Linked DNA regions of Xenopus tropicalis. The protein of the gene in region 2 purifies or fractionates together with the protein of the main gene of each other region. This does not show direct contact. Links are inferred from orthologs where the notes say so. Each region holds a gene or a part of one and is shown on either strand. Other genes may lie near its edges.

What was found.
Region 1: the proteins of eef1a2 (region 2) and vars1 purify together in Homo sapiens (co-immunoprecipitation; 3 studies listed by BioGRID and IntAct, counting the BioPlex papers as one, with this or other methods). This does not show direct contact. The link is inferred for Xenopus tropicalis from reciprocal best matches to the Homo sapiens genes EEF1A2 and VARS1.
Region 3: the proteins of eef1a2 (region 2) and eef1g purify together in Homo sapiens (affinity purification with mass spectrometry; 4 studies listed by BioGRID and IntAct, counting the BioPlex papers as one, with this or other methods). This does not show direct contact. The link is inferred for Xenopus tropicalis from reciprocal best matches to the Homo sapiens genes EEF1A2 and EEF1G.
Region 4: the proteins of eef1a2 (region 2) and eef1b2 purify together in Homo sapiens (co-immunoprecipitation; 4 studies listed by BioGRID and IntAct, counting the BioPlex papers as one, with this or other methods). This does not show direct contact. The link is inferred for Xenopus tropicalis from reciprocal best matches to the Homo sapiens genes EEF1A2 and EEF1B2.

The regions. Positions count from the first base shown.
Region 1 is NC_030684.2:75,069,865-75,074,789, reverse strand, and holds the end of vars1 (valine--tRNA ligase), read left to right. Parts: intron 1-1,491; coding exon 1,492-1,667; intron 1,668-2,476; coding exon 2,477-2,626; intron 2,627-2,957; coding exon 2,958-3,026; 3' UTR 3,027-3,139; downstream 3,140-4,925. Other genes in the region: vwa7 (von Willebrand factor A domain-containing protein 7), read left to right, coding at 4,051-4,072. UniProt on the Homo sapiens protein: Catalyzes the attachment of valine to tRNA(Val).
Region 2 is NC_030686.2:2,000,896-2,007,025, forward strand, and holds the start of eef1a2 (elongation factor Tu, mitochondrial), read left to right. Parts: upstream 1-2,056; 5' UTR 2,057-2,091; coding exon 2,092-2,235; intron 2,236-4,327; coding exon 4,328-4,507; intron 4,508-4,667; coding exon 4,668-4,964; intron 4,965-6,130. UniProt on the Homo sapiens protein: Translation elongation factor that catalyzes the GTP-dependent binding of aminoacyl-tRNA (aa-tRNA) to the A-site of ribosomes during the elongation phase of protein synthesis.
Region 3 is NC_030680.2:36,801,395-36,806,814, forward strand, and holds part of eef1g (elongation factor 1-gamma), read right to left. Parts: intron 5,296-5,420; 5' UTR 5,170-5,295; intron 4,650-5,169; coding exon of another isoform or gene 4,525-4,649; coding exon 4,507-4,524; intron 3,415-4,506; coding exon 3,271-3,414; intron 2,907-3,270; coding exon 2,777-2,906; intron 2,177-2,776; coding exon 1,969-2,176; intron 1,834-1,968; coding exon 1,661-1,833; intron 1-1,660. UniProt on the Homo sapiens protein: Probably plays a role in anchoring the complex to other cellular components.
Region 4 is NC_030685.2:50,703,570-50,709,647, forward strand, and holds eef1b2 (elongation factor 1-beta), read left to right. Parts: upstream 1-1,878; 5' UTR 1,879-1,924; coding exon 1,925-2,004; intron 2,005-2,568; coding exon 2,569-2,691; intron 2,692-3,810; coding exon 3,811-3,946; intron 3,947-4,465; coding exon 4,466-4,532; intron 4,533-5,145; coding exon 5,146-5,271; intron 5,272-5,540; coding exon 5,541-5,695; 3' UTR 5,696-5,759; downstream 5,760-6,078. UniProt on the Homo sapiens protein: Catalytic subunit of the guanine nucleotide exchange factor (GEF) (eEF1B subcomplex) of the eukaryotic elongation factor 1 complex (eEF1).

The DNA.
Region 1 (4,925 bases), on a different chromosome or scaffold from region 2:
TACACACTGACAGTGCCACCATGGCAGTGTATTAGATTCACCAGCAAGGAATAAAGAGACATCTTGCTTTGTAGGAGGCAGAGAGCATGTGAATGTGGTGATGAGAGTGTATCTATTATAGGTGCAGAATGTGGATGTCACCTTTATAGATGTAGACTCTGGACTTATGCAAATGGTCTTTCCACAATGAGTTGATACCCAGAGATAGGGCCATATTGCAAACCCCAAAGTCCCTGTATTTTACATGTGAACAAGGGTCTGTTTTTCTGCTGTCATCCTGTTGAACTGGCCCAACCTTCTGTCTCGGGGTCCAGTCCTCCTTCAGGACTTAACCAGTGTATTTTGACACATTGATCTTCAGTCCACCTGAGAGGAGCAATAATTTTCATTAATTATCTGTGCTGTGTTCTTATGGATTTCTGCCTCCCACCTCTACAACAGCGTTTGGAGAACTTATCTGAAGATTGATTTGGGATCCAAAATTGAGTGCTGAAAACTGTAAAACGTTGTTTCCATATTTTCCTCAATTTGACAGATTTTCCTCAAAATTCTTCCCTAACCCCCCCACCCCCCAACAAAAAAAACCCCAGGTCTCTTCATATTTTGCATCCTGTTAGAGCACTAAAGATTTACACTAGCAAGTCTTAAGAGTTTCACTGTTCTGACTCCCTTTATGGTTTTTACCTTATGTCTGGTAGCTCCCTTACAGTCTGTTGCCCACCAGTATCTCCAGAAGGGACAGGAGAGCCTGCCCTGGGCCTAAGCCTAGGTTGGGTACCCAAGGGCCATGTAAGATATACAGGACCCCTTAAACGTCTCCCAATGCTCATTGCAGATTTAAATCTTCAATATCTTTTGTTTTGAAAGCCTGGGCTGCAAAGTTCTGTCAGGTGTGGTTTCCTAAGCAGCCTTATATTTTGTGGGCCCTTGTTACTTTGGAGCATTTGGTATGTCACAGTGGGAAAGCTGAGAGGGGTAAGACCATTGGATTTAGAAAGCGATTAACTTTGCCCACATGTAGTAACACAAAGCAACCAATCAGATTAGACAATCAGAAAGTTTAAAGTATGACCATTTATTACCCCTTATATATTTTTACTTTTGGGTAACCAGTGCAAAAAATTTTTTTTTTTTTCTTCTGATTGGCTCATAGGAAATAATAATATCCAGATTGCTGGAAGTTATGTGTGTTTCAGAATTATATTCAGAAAGAAGAAGAATGCCTTTCATCTGGTGCAGGCAAATTTACAAGTATGCCAAGGCTCTGCTGTATAGGCAAAACCAGACAGATAGTGCTTAATCCATAACTGGTCAATATAGTGTTCCTAATATTTCCTTTATGTGGGGAAAAAAGGACAAAACAGAACTTTAGAAAAAGTTTCTATGCTATATGCTGGTTATATGCTAAAAAACTGAGTGAGGTTTTATAAGTTAAAAAGTTAAATATACCCATTTGTCGGGTGGAAAAAAATATTATGCTTTGTGTTCTAGGTTTCGTTCAATGTCAAGATGCTGACACCGTTTCTGTGGTTACTGCTTACACTTCATTCATCACGGTCCTCTCTTCCTCACGCTCTCTGGTTACTCTGAAGGCTCAGGATCCTGCTCCAGCCGGAAGCGCTGTTAATACTGCATCAGATAAAGCTACTGTGTATGTGGTGCTCAAGGTAAACCTATTACTTATAGAATATGTATGTATAACTTTCTTTATAAAGCACCACATGGGTACGCAGTGCTGTACAATGTTACAATATACAAAATTACACACAGGGAGGACAAGTGTTATAATAAATACAATAAATAAGTATAAATACACAGAGAATAAGTGTCATGTGGTATGAGAAACAGTAGGAGGGCCCTGTCTTGTAGAGCTTACAGACTAAGTGGTTGGGTAACATACAGGCACAAATTGAAAGGGAAGAGTGCAACTAGGTATGGGCATTTGCCATTAAGCGCAGGACTGGGCAAAATAATGTTTAAGTGCTCCAGAAGGTAACAGCTGAGTTTTTTCTCAAAGAGAGTTAGTGAGTGTTTTCTATCCTTCAGGGATAGAGTTCCAGAGGTAAGGAGCAGGAAGATAGAAAGGTTTAAGACGAGAGAGCGCAGTGGGTGTGGATGTGAAGTGAGGCTAAGCAGGTTCCCTCTTAGGAGAGAGCAGGAGGATCCTGGCAGCAGAGTTTAAGATTAATTGCAGGGGAGAGAGGTGGGAGTCTGGGAGGCCGGTTAGTAGGAAAATATAGTAGTAGTAGTAGAATATAATGTAGAATATAATGTGAAAAAGAATACTTACCAGTGGGACACCTGCATACATATAACACTGATCCATTTGCTCAGTTATTACACACACTGCGTGATTCTATAGAAAGAGGTAACCACTTTACATGACTTTCACTCTCATGTTTGTGATGCTCACATAGTTTTCTGTCTTGCACAAGCATATATTTTGCTGTCACTTAAATATAAATTCTCTTCACAGGGCCTAATAGATGTAGAGAAGGAGCTGGCCAAACTGCAAGTTAAGAAGACTGAATTGGGCAGACAGCTAGAGAAGCTGCGTGAGAGGATGGGCAGTGCAGATTACCGCAGCAAAGTGCCCGAAACAGTGCAGCAACAAGATGCAGAGCGGGTAAAACAAATTGCTACTATTTACTGATGGGTGTGCTGTGAAGGTTAAATCCATCCTAACATTATCTTTTTTTTATTTGATATATTCCTTGATTTAAAAGTTTGCCTCGCTAAAGAAGTGATTTTAGGGATATTACAAATTTTAGCGATAAAAGCAATATTGCTTTTTTTAGAATGTGTAGAAATTTTGGAGTGTGATAAATGGTGGGGGTGGGGGGGGTAGGTTTTTATTCCCACTCCATGTCTTTTAGATGTTTGATTTTCTGGATTTTTTTTCTTTCTCTTTTCCTCCGTGTCTTTTTATTTGATTTATTTCCGGATCCCTATTCCAGATCAGACAGACTGAGACAGAGTTCAAGAAGGTGAATGAGGCTGCAGAGAACTTTCAGAAAATGGTGTAGGGCTTTCATTGGCACCTTGGACCCTTTCATTCACCTCATTGCTGCTTTAAGGAGATGTATTTTTAAATGTGGCTGGTCTTGCAACCCGATATAATAAAAGACAGTGGAAACAAGGTGTGGTGTGATATTATTGTGGGCATCAGAGGAAAGACACAATGGAAAGCTAAATACATGGAATTTGCAATAATTACACAGGAATTGGGGAAGAAAGAATAAGAAGGGATTAGGGGAGCTAAAGAGGAAAGAGCAATACATATGACTTAGAGGGGGACAATGTTGGGTGGAAAAAGGAGCCAATGCAGATTTGCTATAGTGTTGCCTTTCATGATTTTTTTAAACCCAGGGTATTTATCTGGGTAGGAAGCAGTTGACTGATTTTTATATTTTTTGTCAACCAATGCTGCATTGGGACTCACAGAGGGCATGGAGATTTCTCAGTTATTAGAGGGAGCTTTTTCTTTCTCACGCTCCTCCCCTGCTATGTGGTATTGTGGGGACACAAAGAACTCGTGACCTCTCTCACACACACACATTCACACAAAAGAGAGGCACGCAATGAGTAGGACAAAGGAGCACACTGGTTCATACAAAGCTGCAAAGGAACTTAGAAATGGGTGCTTTTGTGCAACTTCTATTTCCCAATGCATATACATGGCTAGTTTACTACTGTACATCCTTAATATTAAGTCGGTGATTGCCTTTAACATTGGAAAAAGTTACCCTGTCTATCTTCACTTCCCATTTATGTCATTTCTGCTTTTATCATAAACCAATGAGTAAAACCACATATTAAGTAGCTGTACTTCCCAATAGAAACACCTCATTTAGCGTGTGTAGCCCTTTAAGAGTGGAGGGTGGATCTCGCAGTTGTTTTGACTGATAACAATGAGAAGTGGTTATTGGGGGGGAGATAAGCCGTGTAAGGAGACGCCGTCCCTTTAGGAAACGCGGAGAACTGCCGGTGCAGATGGGCAGGGGGTAATGTGTAAGATTCGCTCCCTTGTCTGGCAGATAAGTGGTTAATATGGGGAAATGTGAATTGAAAGGTATATCTTGCAAAGTGTATGAATGATTAAAGAGTGTGAAAAAATTGTTTTGTGTAATCTGTGTGACTGCAAGCTGTATGTGCATGTTCCTTTGTGTAACAAATAGGAGCAAATTGCCTAATTCTTGTAACATAATTTAAGAAGAGCTTAGGTTTGTTCCAACAATATCACTATAGATATGTGCCTGTTTCTAGGTAATATCATAATCAACTGTATGGTATATATGTTTGTATGTGTAAGGGACAGTTATTAACATGCATACTGCATTTCTGAATTACAGTGCTTGGACTGGCAGTAATTATAGGTAGCACTTGCTGAATTGCTACTTGGTTTTGTACTAACGGCAGGACAGGTGTCAGTGCAGTGGCCTTTCTGTGTAATATATTAGTTAGTTATGCCTTTAATATGGTAACTATACATGGTACTTGTGTAATCATTTGGATCAGGGGGTCCCAACATCAGTCCTAAAAAAGACACAATACAGCATTTTGGGGTTTCCAAAGGGCATATATTAGACACTTTAAATACCTTCAGTTCAGGGTTTTAATAAGGGTTATGTTGGTGACTTAATATAATAAAATTAGGCAGTTGTCCAAAACTGGGGAAGGTGTAAGTAAAACCAGGTTGTACAAATCATGTATATCATTATCAATGGTAAGAAATATGTTACAGGCCAATGGCGTTATCATCTAGCATACATTAAAATATAGTTCTAGAGGCTTCATTTTAAGTAAGGCATACATTCATTGCTAAAATATGCACTGCTTTTAAAGCTGCAATTGTCTGGATAAAGAAAAAGGGCTCCCTTTCATCCAAATACACGTTTACAAAAAGTATATGGGAAAATATTGGA
Region 2 (6,130 bases):
CTGACAGACACACACACACACACTGACACACACACACACACACACACTGACACACACTGACACACACACTGACACACACACACACACACACACACACACTGATACACACACAGTGACACACACACACTGATACACACACACACACACACACTGATACACACACACTGATATACACACACACACACACACACTGACACACACACACACTGACACACACACACACACACTGACACACACACACTGACACACACACACACACACACACTGACACACACACACTGACACACACACTGATATACACACACACACACTGACAGACACACACACACACACACTGATACACACACACTGATACACACACACACACACACACACTGACACACACACACACACTGACACACACACACACACTGACACACACACACACACACACTGATATACACACACACACTGACACACACACACACACACACTGATACACACACAGTGACACACACACACTGATACACACACACACACACACACTGATACACACACAGTGACACACACACACTGATACACACACACACACACACTGATACACACACACACACACACACTGATACACACACACACTGATACACACACACCACACACACTGATACACACACACACACACACACACTGATACACACACACACACACACACACACACACACACTGACACACACACTGGTACACACACACAAACACACACACACACACACACACTGATATACACACACACACACACACACACACAGTGACACACACACACACACACACACACACACACACACACACACACACACACACATATATATATATACACACACACACACACACTGACACACACACACACACTGATACACACACACACACACTGACACACACACACACACACACACACTGATACACACACACACACACACACACACACTGATACACACACACACACACTGATACACACACACACACTGACACACACACACACACACACACACTGATACACACACTGATACACACACACTGACACACACACTGGTACACACACACAAACACACACACACTGATATACACACACACACACACACACACACAGTGACACACACACACACACACATATATATACACACACACACACTGACACACACACACACACACTGATACACACACACACACTGATACACACACACACACACACACACACACACTGATACACACACACACACTGATACACACACACACACTGATACACACACTGACACACACACACACACACACACACTGATATACACACACAGTGACACACACTGACACACACACATTGATACACACACACTGATATACACACACAGTGACACACACACACACACATATATATATATATATACACACACACACACATATATATATACACACACACACACACTGACACACACACACACACTGATACACACACACACTGACACACACACACACTGATACACACACACACTGACACACATACACACAGAATGGCCTTTCCCTAGCAACTTTGCAATTGGTCTTCATTAAGTACTTTTTATAGTTTGTGAATTATTTCCCTTCCTCTTCAGACTCTTTGCAGCTTTCAAATGGGGGTCACTGACCCCGGCAGCCAAACCCTATTGCTCTGTGAGGCTCCAGTTTTATTGTTATTGTTACTTTTTATTCCTTATCTTTCTATTCAGCCCCTCCCCTATTCATATCCCAGTCTCTCATCCAAACCCCTCCCTGGTTGCTAAGGTAACTTGGACCCTAGCAACCAGATAGCTGCTGAAACTCCAAACTGGGGAGCTGCTGAACTGAAAATGAAAAAACTAAAAAACTACAAATAATAGAAAATGAAGACCAATTGCAAATTGTCTCAGAATGTCACTCTCTACATCATACTAAAAGCTAACTCAACCTGCAGTTGCCCCATTGCCCCAGCTGGGTACCTTGGTGCTTTTGTATCTAACTGGGCCTCCATCCAACCAACTGTTCCCTCATGTTCTTTCCATTCTGTCCCCCCAGACTTCCTTGCACTCTCGCTAGTGTCACCCCAGGAGGATGGGGAAAGAGAAGACACACATCAACATCGTGGTCATTGGCCACGTGGACTCTGGCAAGTCCACAACCACCGGCCACCTGATCTACAAGTGCGGGGGCATCGACAAAAGGACGATAGAGAAGTTTGAGAAGGAAGCGGCCGAGGTGAGCACAGTGGTCCCCTGTCTTCTTCACAACCATGCGTACCCCCAATTGTGACATCATACAGATATGTTGTATGGGGGGGGGGCAATAAAATCCATTGGTTGGCGGCATACGGAGTCTGGAGTTGGGTAGTTCTGTTCTTAATATGGCAACCAGATATCACAACTCTGGGATCATTTCCTCACTGTAGATCTCAAGTCAATATTTGCCCAACGTTGCAATATGAAGGTCCAAACTGTGATGTAAGTACCAGGGGGCAGGGCAATACACCAGGGCCTCCTGCCCCAATGGCATTGGTTGTATGAGGGGAAGGATGTCCGGTGCAAAGTCCCCCTGCCCTAATACAGGACCCCTTATCCGGAAACCCATTATCCAGAAAGTTCCGCATTATGGAAAGGCCATCTCCCATAGACTCCATTATAAGCAAATAATTCTAATTTTTAAAACTGATTCCCTTTTCTCTGTAATAATAAAACAGTACCTGTACTTGATCCCAACTAAGATATAATTACCCCTTATTGGGGCAGAACAGCCCTATTGGGTTTATTTAATGGTTAAATGATTCCCTTTTCTCTGTAATAATAAAACAGTACCTGTACTTGATCCCAACTAAGATATAATTACCCCTTATTGGAGCCCAAACAATCCTGTTGGGTTTAATTACTGTTTAAATTATTTTTTAGTAGACTTAAGGTAGGAGATCCAAATTACAGAAAGACCCCTTATCCGGAATACCCCAGGTCCCAAGCATTCTGGATAACAGATCCCATACCTGTAGTAAGCTGTAAGCCTTTAGTTATACCATTGGGACTTTCTTGGTGCAGAAATCATAAAGGACCAATCATATTTTTCGTTTTATTTGAATAACTGCACTAAATTTTGTAAAGCTAACTGCTGATGGGTTGCCGGGGGTAACCTTGAATGATCCTTGTTTCTTTCCATTGGTGAGTTTCTTGCTTGTGTAATGTGTAATGTGCAATGTATGGAACGTAGAATGGATCTGATAATGGGAGGAGAAGTCCATGACTGGGGGTGGGGAGCACAGAGGGCCCAGTGGGGACACTGATGATGTCACAATACTTTGGGGCACCCCCTCCCGGATGGAAAGAAATACATTGTGTATGCGGAGTCCATAAAAGTCTTCATTGTTCTTTTCAGGGGGTGAATTTGGGAGGTGTCTGATTCCCTTTCCAACAGTAACGCTCTATCATGAATTCCCTGGAGGCTTCTCTCAGAGCTTTGTGTTGTTCAACAGCAGGACGAGTCCCAATGATATCCGAGATCAGCTGCGAGCGGAGACCTCAGAGAGAGAGAGAGAGACTCTGCCAGGGTTTAATTATAGCTGCTGCTGCGAGCTGGCAGACTCCATTTTGTGTGCTCGTACAGAGGGCAAGCTGTCCTCTCCGCCCGAGAAATGGAGATTGTCTGGGAGATGTCCTACTGGCCTCCTTCATGTCTTACTGGCCTCCTTCATGCTGGAATGTGTCCCCTTGGCCTTAAATATTCAGGGTAAATGCACGGACTGTCAGTTGTGTGCAGCCCATGCCAGCTCCACCTTCTGTACAGGGAGAACATTGGTTAATACTATTAAAGGGGAAGCCAACCTTCAGATAGAAAAGTGCAGATGCATGTAGGCTACTGATCCTGCTGACCTGCACATACATCATGGTTTGCTTCGTACCACAGTTAATAAGGCAATAGTAATACTGTTGATGTTGCTGTTGACAGTCAGAGCTAAGTGCCACCTAGTGGAGATAGGGTTACCGCTACATTGCTTCAGTCCCAACAACCAGATGTAAGTAGAATACAGTTGCTGCTACATTGTCTCAGTAGGTCAGACTCAACTTCCCCCATTGACTAAACATTAGGTTGGTGATATTTTCATTGTCCTCCCGTTACTGTACAACTGTTATGTTTATTATATTCTATTGGTGACCGTCCTAGTCAAGCTGATGTCCACTCAAGTTTCTCATCAAAACCCATATGTAGGTGGCCACCAGAACTGTCTTAACGTTCAGGTATAAAACCGACCATAGAGAAACTGGAAGTCCAACATTTATTAAGCCTTCACGCATGTGTTCTTCTTTTCTAGATGGGGAAAGGTTCCTTCAAGTACGCTTGGGTTTTGGACAAGCTGAAGGCTGAGAGGGAGCGAGGAATCACCATTGATATCTCCCTTTGGAAGTTTGAGACAAACAAATATTACATCACCATCATTGATGCCCCCGGACATCGAGACTTCATCAAGAATATGATCACTGGAACCTCTCAGGTAAGAGAGAGATTGAGGAGGAGGAGAGGCCCTTACCAAGGTTCCAGTGGAAGGTACTCAAGTTCCACCAAATATCGTAGAGAAGGGTTTTCCCTGTTGGGGGAGGTGAGACCATCTCTGGTGCCACATTACTCACTTCTCTCCCTCTCCTCATTCCCAGGCAGACTGTGCAGTGCTGATAGTGGCAGCCGGAGTGGGTGAGTTTGAAGCTGGCATCTCCAAGAATGGACAGACCCGTGAACATGCCCTCCTGGCTTACACCCTCGGAGTCAAACAGCTCATCGTGGGAATCAATAAAATGGACTCCACCGAGCCTCCCTACAGCGAGAAACGTTATGATGAGATCGTCAAGGAGGTCAGCGCCTACATCAAGAAGATTGGCTACAACCCAGCTACAGTTCCCTTCGTACCCATTTCTGGCTGGCATGGAGATAACATGTTGGAGCCCTCTCCCAATGTAAGTGGAGTCTTGTTCATGAAGGAAGGGAATAATGAATGAATCTGCCATAGGTTTGGTTTGACTAGGTCTTAGGCCGGTGATGGTTGAGGTATGTAGAGACCATGAATGTAATGGTGGAACGTTATAGAGATAACACAACTAATAGGAGAACATACAAGTGATGTTTGGTGAGTCCAGGGACTGGAAAACCTTCATGTCATCATAACAACACAGGAACAGTCATGTTTGAGAATAGATCCATTCATAAAGTATAAGCCTTTGGTCTTATAGATCCAGAGGATCCCTCAGAAGGGAAACATTCCCTTAGAACACTCAACCTACTGCAATGAGTATGATTATATGAGTATGAATGCTCATATCCAAAGTATTTTCTCAAACGCTAATCAAGCGCTCGACTCTTTCTTGAGACTTTCTATAGTATCTGCCATATCTAGGAAAAAAATCTTTTCAGAACCTAAAGGTGGAACCTTCATTATTCTGATGTCAGAAGATTCCCCATTGTCCTCTGGATTCTTTACGAACAGTGCTTTCCAGCTCATTACATGTAGTGGGCCAGTTATATGTCATATAGTGAAGTCTATGGAGTCTCTGAGCAGACTGGGGGCCATAAAAATTCTTTGACGGCCACATTTGGCCCGTGGGCCTCCAGTCAGACAGCCTTGATCTATAGAAGGATCTTCTAGTAAATAAAGCATCAAAGAGTTATATACATGGTGATCATATCTTCTCTCCTCCATTGACTAGTCCTAAATCAGCCAGTTCTTCTTCATAGCTGAGATTCTACATTCTCTTTATTACCTTAGTGGCCATTTTGTATCTCTCCGTGTTGTTTACTGGAGACCAAGACTCTGGTGGGATATGAGGCCACCAGAATGATAGAGCTAAAGCCATAATTGGGATATTATTGACCAATGGCACAAAGACTAAGAACAGTTTCAGACTAATAGTTGGTGTTGTGGAACTGGCTGGTGATTGGCTAAAGATAAGAGGGTTGTTTTTCAAATTCTGACATAGTGGGACCTGATTGGTCAGATAAAGTTTCTGTTGGCTTCAAGGCAAAATAGAATTTGGGTTATGTAGATGTTTCCAATGCTAAAGCTGTAGATATGCAATCACTATGATCAGCGATTGGTAATCCTTGAATCTGTTATTGTTTTATTGGG
Region 3 (5,420 bases), on a different chromosome or scaffold from region 2:
AATTTACTGAAAAACTGAAGGTAAAGTTTGTCCGTGAAAAGCTTCTCTGCATTGTCTTTTGCTTGATACAAAAGTTACTTAAGTTTCGAGGCAAGTTACATCGTTTTCTAAGCAGCTTTTGTAGTAAATTGTGTAACTTATGCAAGTTGTGTAAATTTCATAATACAACTGGTCCCCCTTACTGAAGATGATTTTACAGGGTCTGGCACAATTGTACCCCCCCCTCTCCCTCCACATAGTACTTGGCCAAAACAATACCCAGTACACTATTAAAAATATACTTTATTTTTGCCTACAATCCAGATAATACACCCAACATTTAACAGGAGCCCACATTAGCCTCAACTTTGTTAAATTCAATGGGTAAATCTGAGGATATGCAGCATGGTCTCACTGAATTGTATTAGAATAGAGATGAAAAAAACCCCATAAACATAACTGCTGTATGGCCTTTGAAACTCTTCTATAACACCTAGTAAGAGATTTGTTAAAAGCATAAATACCCCTGAGCATAAGTACCCTCCACAGAATGTGTTTAATCCCCCCTACAGTACTTATTTTCCCCACAATGGCTAATTTGCACCTGGACAGTAAACCTATAGCAACCCATAAGTTTTTTCTTAATTAAACAGTGAAAGCGAAACTTTGGTTGCCATGGGTTACTGCAACTTTGCCCAGTGTTGATAAGTGAGCCCCAGCAAATTTTCTATACCTGTTCTGCAGGTTAGACTTAATGTACATTAAATCTGATTGGCCAGCCTTAAATTCCCCATGATCACTAGCTTATCCACATAGGAGTAATCAGGCTCATTTCTAGCAAGTTATGTCACAGTACTGTAATATTAGCACATGTTTGATCATCATGCTTAACTTGGACTATTAGTCCACTTGTCTACTTGACTACAGTCTGTTCCACTGTAGTTGAAAAAAACCTGAATGCCAACCATAGAAATTTGCCATCGGCAGCACAACTAATGTGTAGGCACTGGCAACTTAAGGGGGCAGAGAGGGTTCAATTATTAGGGTGAAGACACACAGAGCTACTAGTAGCAGCTACTTTTTCACGGCTGCTAAACACCAGAAAATACCCTGCCATAGACAATCCTGAGAACTGACTCTGCTAACACACATGTAGAGGCAATTATCAGTCAATGATCAGCATTGTCTATTTCTGTAGCCACAACAGTAGCTGCTACCGTATTCAGAAAAGAATGCAGAATATTGTATTCTCACAAAAAATTCTGTGTGCGCACCACAATAATCTTGTGTGCACTGTCCCCAAAATTTGTGTGCACGCACAGCTTATAGAGAACATTGCCCATGACTTATTTGTTGGATCTAACTGGTGACAATGTACATTTAAAGGTTTGCTTGCATTAAGGCACTGAATGGTTTTAATTAGGGTTATATAAAATTATATAGCTGCCAGATGTACAAATGCACAAGCCTTGAAATATTTATGACTGAGTTCTATTTAAGGACTACTACTAGCAAGTATAGTACTGCTTACAGACCAGGGGCACTAGCGTCTTTATAACATTTTTACATCAAAGTGTTTGTTTAATCCCCTGAAAACTACCAGCCTTTGCCTAACTACATGCCATTACTTGTATCAGTGCTTTTCAAGGCAGCACCGTGTATGCATACATTTACCTCTTACCTGTAATTAAGTTGCAGCTCATGAAGGTTTGTGTCAGCTCCTCGGGGAATTTGTATTCAGCGTACCAGATGGACCAGCCTTCCTTGTCAAAGTGCTCCCAGAAATAAGGCAGAGCTACAGCCAGGGTATCTTCATTAGAGTATTTTCTCTTAAACTCATCCATTACAAAAGAGCTGCATGGGAAAATGAAGACTTGTAAGACGATAAAGGTCTATGACAGTGAAAGATTATAACTGGTCACTTAAGATTGGGATGTAGTGTTGTAGAGTCTGATGACAACAATTACATCAATTGCTCAATGATCTTACCTTTTAGGTAGATGTGCGTATGGGTCCTTTGATTTAGGCTCTGCTGCTAAAGCCTTTTCAGATTCATCCATATCATCCTCAGGGGCTGGGGCAGGAGCAGGAGCTGGTGTTGCCTTCTTCTTTTCCTCCTTTTCTTTTTTTGGCTCCTTTGCTGGCTTCTCTTTCTTGGGAGTTTCTTTCTTGGGCTGCATCTCGGCAAACTTCTTAGCTACAGAAAATTAAAAATAACACTCTCAGCCTGGCAGAAACACCACCATACAATGTGAAATAGTTTGAATTGCCATTTTGCTAAAAATTATTTTACATAGCAAATACAATAAGTTAACCTAACATCCCTATCAAAAGTAGACCACCACCTGTAAAAATGGCTTGTATATATTTAGCCCCGTTACAGACTGCGCTACATTTTGTTTATAAAAATGACATTCTGAAGATGATGCTTTATACAGAATACTGTTCATTCCAATCCTGGAAGTATTCATAAATACAAAGACCCTGGCCCTATATACAGCCCAGACAATTTGTTTATAGTTGAGCTCTAAATCAAATTAATCGGTTTTGCTGACCATAAGAGCTACTCAGTACAAGAATGATTTAGCGCAAAACAGACCAAACCTGCCTTGCAGGACCAGTAACACCAAAAAAATTATTTCTTAAAGTAATTCAAAAACACTGTTCTGCACAGGTAAAAGTTGTGTGTTTGTTTATATAAACTATACCAGTGTTTCAGAAACAAAGCTGCTGTGTAGGCACAGGGTAATAGGGTAATGGGATAGAAAAGAGAATTTTATAGGATGTTCAGGCTCACCATCAAACTGTGCCATCTTGTCACAAAGCTTGACTTCTCCCAACACAGCACGGAATTCTGGCTGATTCACACAGGTCACAAACCACCTTGTAACATTACCAAATGGCTGGCGGAAGGATGGTTCCAGGACCTATGGATAAATAGAAATTAATATATGGACACTAAAAAGAAGTGCTACAAAGGCTGACAGAAATGAGTGTGAAAATATGGGGATGTAGATACATGAAATGGGGTAAATGGCGAGGATTATTATACAGAAAGTTAGAATAGAAAAAAAATTAAAAAAAAAAAAACTTCAGTGTTTATGTATTCTGAGTGTGGGAAATCCAATAAATGATGAAGAACTGGTATACCAGAACAGGTATAATGGATCTTTATTATAAACAGTAATATAGTGAAGTATATGGCTAAAGGAGGCTACAAATTCACAACAGGAATACAGTTAGGAGGAATAAAAGACAAAGGAGAAACAGATAAAAATTAAAGTGTCAGACCTGCTTATAGAGCCACAGAAGAGAGCAAGTAACTGCTATATCAGCCAGCGTGACCCTCTCGCCCACTAGGAATGTCCGTGTCTTCAGATGAGAATCTAAAACACCCAGCACAGCCTTTATCTCCTCCTTGGCTTGTTCTGTGGCCTAGAAATATACAGAAAGAGCCATAATCCCAAATGGCCAGTTTTAAAAGGACAGAAATTGAGGTAAAATGGTCTATTATTTTCTTCAATCTTCAATTATTTTTGCTTCTGAGGCTTACTACCTTCTAACAAAAAAAACCCTATCCAAGAGGGTTGTTGAGATAACAAACAGTCGTGTACTAAAAAGTAGCCAGGAAGACTAGAATCCGCCATTATGCCAACCAGGGGGAATTAGTTAGGGTTGTGACACAGAGAGATTAGTCGCTGCACAGAAAACCTCCCCAAAATGCCATCCCACCGGCTAGAATGTAAATCGCCGGTGGGATGGCATAAGCATCAAGCGTGATTCGCAGAAGTCGCCTTGAGAGGAAACTCTGGCAACTTCCGCAAATCACACCGCCGCATATGCCATCCCACCGACGATTTACATTCTAGCCGGTGGGATGGCATTTTGGGGAGTTTTGTCACCCGTGACTTATCTACCCGTGTGTCACAGCCCTTAAGCAAGCTGCTATTTTCCAGCTAACTGCACAGATCACTTCACACCATTCAATAAACCGAAAGATACATATAACCATAACATTCACTAAATAAGGGTGGGGCAGAGATATACACACACTTTTTAAGGTAATCTTTCAATTTAAAACAGTTAAATCTTGTTAAACCCATATCGATCTTGGATCAGGCAGTTCATCCATCTCTGACAACTGCCTCGTGTTTACTTCATCTAAAGCTATGGCTGCGGCAAAAAGTAGGGTGACCCAATCACTTGAAAATTCAAGGACACATCTAGTACATGTCGCAGGAATTGTATTTCAAATCAGTTCAGCCCTGCTAGCTGGATTTATTTTTTCTCTTCATTACACGTCCCTGAATTTTCAAGCAATCTGGTCACCCTAAAGGGTCCTACTGACCCCAAACATTATGGGTGCTTGAAGTATTTGTAAAGCAAAGTATTTCATAATTCATCTCGACGCAGCACAAAGTAGAAAAGGAAAGGCCATTGTTAGATGAATAAATAATTTAGCAGATAAGCACGCAGCAGTGTGTAGTTAACCAAAGAAAATAAAGCAGAATAATGAACCCTTCTTACCTGCTTATTGTATTGCATGATCCCCAGAGTGGGAAAGACCCATGCGCTGGCCGGAGGGACAATGTGACTGTCTGAGAAGCTGACCCACTGGATGACCTGAGCTTGGTGTAAACGATTGGTTCCTCGGAGCTCATCATTGCCCACTGTCAGAGAAATATGTGAGAGGTGAGAATTAGGTTTCCTATTAACACCAAGTCAGAGAAAGTATGAGACATATGTGACAAGTCTAAAGGTGGCCACACACGTGGCGATTTTTGATCTTTTGTGCGATCGTTCCAATCCGCCACTAACATTCAGGGGTGAAATGGCAGATGTGGAGGAAGAAACAATAGGATTTCAACGAGGTTTCATACGATATTATCGGTGCATGTATGGCCAGCTTTAGGGTGAGAACACACAGAGCTACTAGTAGCAGCTACTTGCCGTGACTACTAAAAAAGAGAATGCTGATCATTTACAGATAATTGCCTCTACATGTGTTTTAGCAGAGGCAATTCTCAGTATTGTCTATGGCAGGGTATTTTCTGGAGTTTAGTAGTCATAAAAAAAAAGTAGCTGCTACTAGTAGCCCAGTGTGTCTTCACCCTAAGAGTGGACTTTCATTATACCCAGTCTGCAGGAGCCCGAGACACACAGAAAGAGGGACAAAAAGAAATGGATAACCTTGATGTAGAATGATAAAGATTCACAGCTCATCTCAGAGCTCACATGCTCTCCAATTTAAATCTGAGACTCCAAGTCAGCATTTGTCTTGTAGTGCAATTCTATGCATTCCGCCACAAGGAATGCCTATAAAAATATGAAGAGATTAAGGTATAATTTGCCAGGTTGCTATTTTATGATTTCAGCTTTGCAGCTGCTGTTTGAATGGCCAGCTATCCATAAGTTTTTTTTTTTTTTAATAACCTTTCACA
Region 4 (6,078 bases), on a different chromosome or scaffold from region 2:
TATGAGAGCTATATTTACAGATACACCTGTCACCCTGAAATTGTTTCCCCCACCAGTGGTGCAGGCTAATGGAGCCTGCACTCCAGTTGGGGGAAACAATAGTTTAAAAAAAAATAATAATAAATAGCCCCCACCAGCACTAGGCTGCCTGCACCAGTAGGAAGCTTTTGGTGTGGGTGGCTATGTTGGGGCACATGCAAAAGGATGAGCGAGAGCAACATCTCGCTCATTATGCACAGGTATGTGACATAAATTGCAATTCGCAATTAATGTCAGATGATAATGAGCATGTGAGGAGACTGGCTTTTTATGCACGCTATAGAACAGTGATCCCAACCAGTGGTTCATAAGAAACATGTTGCTCCCAGGGTCCTCAAAGTAAGAGCTTATTTTTGCATTTCTGGCTTGGAGGTAGGTTTTGGTTGCATAAAACCCAGTGTAAAGCCAAACAGAGCCTTCTATAGGCTGCCAATCCATATAGGGTGCAACCAAACAGCCAATTATAGCTCTTGTTTGCACCCCCAGGAACTTTTTCCATACTTGTGTTGCTCCCCAACACTTTTTCCATTTGAATGTGACTCATGGGTATAAAAGGTTGGGGATGCCTGCTATAGAACATGACAGCCTTCACCAAAAGCTCTCTCCCAGTGTGTGTGGGCTAGTGCGGCTGACACACACCAAAAAATTGTTTTTCCCAAACAGAATGCTGGCTCTATTAGCTTGCAACTGTCCTTGGGGAAACATTTTTCAGGGTGACAGGGTGCCCTTCAAGGTATGGTGTTCCAAATTCCAGACAGATCCCTTATCGGGAAAACCCCAGGTTCCAAGCATTCTGGATAACAGGTCCCATACCTGTATTATACTTTATCCCACCCCACAAAAAAAAAAAAAAAAAAATCTGCCATAGCCATTGAGCCACAAGCCAGGTCATAAAAACTAATTTTAATCAATATTACAATATTCCCTATTTGCTGAGTAACGACTTAACCAGCGCAACCAATTGCATGTGTAATTTTCGCGCAATGTGCAATAACTAAGAGGTTAGAGGATGTGCAAGGAGAGAAGCGCATTACTGAATCCCAGCAGAGCTCTGAGTAAAGACGCGCACCCATGCACAGACTATGGAACGCTGTAGCCCGCGGGTTTGCTAGTATAGGAAGGGATGGAGTCTGGAAATCTTTAGCGAATAATAGAAGAGTCCAAGTCCTACCGAACTAAACTACATCTGTCAAGGGCACAAGAGTGACCTACTACCTTGCTAGACACACAGCCAACACCATTACACCGTAACGCAGGGTTACCGCATCGGTTATGCAAAACATTACAAAGAATTGCCATTTCCAAACCACTCACCCCACCGACTCCCCTAAACAGCTCTGGGAATATTTGGCCTTCTAGACCAGAACAGCCCTGGCCGGCACCCTTGACCAATATGGCGGATTTAAGCAACCTCCGGAACAAGCCACGGAAGATGGTAAGAATTATACGTAACTGAGAAAGCTTCGGTAACTTCCGCACAGGCAAAGACTAGAGATCGACAAAGTCCGGCAAAAATGACGAACGAGACTCGGAGAAACTTCGTTTCCGAAATGTTGCGAACGCAACATCGTTAGTCTTCGGCACAGGCAGTTTCCGGATCGACTTAACATCGGCTATCTCCGTGATAAGCGGCAACACATGCAATCCCAAATATTTCTGCAGTCGGAAAACGAAGATATGGTCTCCAGTAAGTAATACTTTGCCGAAAGGGTGCGGATAAAAAAAAATATAAACTTGAAATGATGTACATGTTACATAGTGAGTCTTTAAGGAAGGCTTAGCCCGCCCCTCGTAGCCCCGCCCCCTGTCTATAAAAGGCATCTACCCGGCCTGCAAGTTCTTTTCTTTACCCGTGTGTGCTAGGCTTCTTGAGTGAATTGCTGTAATGGGTTTCGGCGATCTCAAATCCCCTGCAGGCCTTAAGGTCCTGAATGAGTTCCTGGCCGACAAGAGCTACATCGAGGGGTCAGTGTGGTAAATGCTATATTATAGTTGTGCTAATGTTCGAAAGGACAAGGAATGTGTAATATGAATGAACGTGTTGGCTTCCAACGCGTGGTCCTAGGCCGCAACCTCCTGCTGCCTGACTCCTGAATTCTTTTAGCTGCAGTGCCGTAAACGTGTCACAAAATCCCAAGTGATGTAATATGTAAAGGCTGCCTGGTTAATTGTGCCTTGTGCTTTAGTTATGTATTCTTTCTAATGTTAATAATTAAGTGTTTCTTGGAATCATTTGTAAATGTAATTTGTATTAAAAGCAGAATAGGTCTGGATTTCTACACTTTCGGCACTGCTGGCTACGACTGCTGAGCCGATGTAGCAGAAGCCAGCTGCTTAAACTGCACTATGTCAGAGAACGGAAAATTATATAAACTGTTCAGTGTAACTAAATGTGCAAATAGCCTTAAAACTTGGATAATGTTTATAGGAAACAAATGTTTGGACACTATTTATACAGTTTTTTCTACTGTACTATATTATGTTTAGTGGTTATGCTGCTAATTGTATATTTACCCCCACCCTTTTCAGATATGTCCCTTCCCAGGCTGATGTTGCAGTATTTGATGCCCTCTCTGGTGCGCCCCCTGCTGACCTTTTCCATGCTCTGCGTTGGTACAACCACATCAAGTCTTATGAAAAGCAGAAAAGTAGGTAAGCAGTATGATAAAGTATAGCTATTGCTTTCACAGCAGTGATTGATAAAGGAGCATGGTTGAAAAAATATGATACTGTGCTGAATACAATATTCTTTGTTTTAGGTTGAGCTGTTCTACAGCACTTTGAAGCACGTTCACTACTATACTTATCTAATCTGAATCAGATTTTTTTTTTTTTTAATTCGGTTTATTGGTTAACATCCAGCTGAAAAATCACTGCCTATGGCTGTAGTGCTCATGCAGCCAGAAAGTGGCTGCAACATACATAAGCTTTGATAGTACTGTTGGCCTGCTGTAGAATGTAAATGGGCACAATTCTAATTAACATGGATCATGAATGTGTATCATTTTTGTGGTCTATGAAGTATTTTAAAGGAGTTGTTCACCCTTATGTTAAATTTTAGTATACTGTACAATTTTGAGACAACTTTTTTTTTTTTTTTATTTTGGTGTTTGAATGATTGTTTTTTTGTTAAACCGCTGTCCAGTTTCACATATCTGGTTGCTAGGGTCCAATTTAACCTAGGCAACTAGCCAGTAGTTTGAAAGATGGAAAATTCAATATAGGAGGCCCTAAATAGAAAGATAAGTACAAAAAAAAACAGCTTCACAGAGCAACAGATTTTTGGATTCTGAGGTCAGTGACCACCCCCCCTCATTTGAAATCTGGAAAGAGTCTGAAGAAAAAAGGCAAAAAAACTATACACCATAAAAATGAAAACCAACTGAAAAGTTGCTAAGAATAGGCTGTTCTATAACATACTAAATGTTAACCTGAAGTGTTCTCTTTGACAGTAGGACAGAATTGCATTCTCTTGGCTTAATTGATGCTAGCTGAGCACACAGAATGCCCAGTCAGACATGCAGAGGAGCCTCGTCAAATAGTAGCGTGGCTACCCATATTTGGGCCAGCTTGCAGTCATTTGCAGTTAAGATGTCAGTATTGTAATTTGTTCTCTATTGTAATTTGTTCTCTAAAGTTGTATGTAATTCTAGATAACTGTATATTCCTTGTGACTCACCTCTAAGCAGCTGCTAATGCAAATAGCCTAGAAGTATATTTCTCCTTTGTAAAGTAGTTTTTTTTTTTTTTTTTTTTTTTTTTTTTTCCTAGCCTGCCTGGTGTGAAGAAGCCTCTGGGAAACTATGGCCCTGTTAACATAGAAGATACTACAGGCAGTACAGCAAAAGATACCAAGGAAGAGGATGATGATGATGACATTGACTTGTTTGGTTCAGATGATGAAGAGGTGGGATGTGTAACAATCTTTAGATGTAATAAAATTAGACCTAAGAAGCATAAGGTGCAGAATAAATTACACTGGCTGTACAGCTGTGTCCATAATTTTTTTTTTTTTTTTTTTAACATGCTGTTCTACAGACTGAAATGTAAAGAGAGTTTGCTGTGTTTCATGTAGTCTCCTTGTGGACAATGAACGTAGCAAAAATGCGTGCATGCTTTAATTGTGCTCCACTGTAACCACAAATTCATTATATTACATGCCCAAGGCACACTACTATGGCCACATACCTGAAGCAGTGTTTGCTGTTGGTTACTAAGGTTCTAAACATGTGAAGGGAGTTGTGTAAAACACAAATTTGGCTGTACTATATTCAGGCTGGTCATGTGATGAATGAGCTAAATCACCATCTTTCGGCTGATTTGTGATGCATATTGTCTTCTAAACTGACTACACCAGCCTGTTAACTTAAAAAAACAAAAAAAAAACTTGCTATTGTGCAGAATCTTAAGTTTTTCTATTTCATAGGAAAATGAAGAATCAAAGAGGGTCCGCGAAGAACGCTTAGCACAGTATGAAGCAAAGAAGTCTAAAAGTAAGTGGCCTTCTCCCGAGTGTTTATTCTCCTTAAGGCATATGTTTTTAATTGTTTTGCCTTAAGAAAAGCAAAGTGCAATCACTACCTGTTTACATACTGGTCTTCAGTTCCTTTTTTTTTTTTTTTTTTTGTGGAATGGAAATACTTGCCACAGATACTGGTCTGGAGCTGTATTACTATGTGGCAGTTCCAGCATTCCTCCTGTGGCACATTAAAATGTTTTGCAGCTTTATTTCCTCTCAGTCTGGGAGGACTTGGCTGTATTTCAAACATGGTTCTGTTTTATTCTGTACCACTGTCTACAAACTATATGGTGTAAACCTTAGTGTAAAAAATGCCATATAGTATTGTTATAGTATGTTCAGCAAGGCAGTGGCTATGGTTTGTGACTTAGAAAGGTGTAACACTTGACTTTCCCACTAGAATTTTACTTGTGCTTTTATTTTGTGGGATTTTGGGGTAGTCTGAATGTGTGGCTTAAGGCTGTTAGAATGTGTATTCAGTTTATATATTACTAGTCCTTTACTTGCGGACATAATCTAATTTACACTTCTTCACAATCTTCAAATTCTCCAAAGGTGATTAAATCTTAACCAATTTGTTTCTTTAGAACCAGCACTTATTGCCAAATCATCCATTCTTCTTGATGTGAAGCCATGGGATGATGAAACGGATATGGCCAAGCTAGAAGAGTGTGTCAGAAGTATACAGATGGAAGGCTTGGTGTGGGGAGCATGTAAGTTTATATTTTGTAGGTAGTCTAAAGAATATCTTCACCTTAACTGTAATGATGATTAAAATATCACCATCTTTCGACTGATGCTAATGATGGATGTATTTTTATTCTGACTGCCTTTTATTTAAACACTGTAAAGGTATGTGTTTACTGAATGTACAAGTCTTTACATTCTGACAATATGTAGCAAGTAGACTTGATTTAAAATGCACATTTAATGGCTTTATCAACCGTCATCTGTTATCTCAATTGTTCTATTCCTTCTGCAGCAAAGCTTGTTCCTGTTGGATATGGCATTAAAAAGCTGCAGATCCAGTGTGTGGTTGAAGATGACAAAGTTGGCACAGATGTTTTAGAGGAGAACATCACTGCATTTGAAGACTTTGTGCAATCCATGGATGTTGCTGCTTTCAACAAGATCTAAACTGATTTCATGAAGCCCCCATACTTTTACAGCACTTCAAATAAAAACATTTGCTTAATGTGAAGTTGGTGTTCACTTTGTATTGTGGCTGCTTTCCTTGCAACAAAGTTGCACGCATTCAATCTATCTTGCCTCTGTAGGATTAAAGTATGCCAAATAGGCATCAATGTGTTTCAATCCACTGTGGATGGTTGTCTGGATGTAGAAGATGATCTCTAATGGGTCATAACTTGGTGTCCATTGTTGCTCTGAAGTCCACAAAAGCACTCTTGGCTAATTGTAACAAGTTTTTGACTTGTGGTATGCATGTGGAAACTTAGTTTTTATTTAAGGGCATGTCAACCCCAAACATTTTTACCAAAAAAAAAAACCTTGTTCTAAGC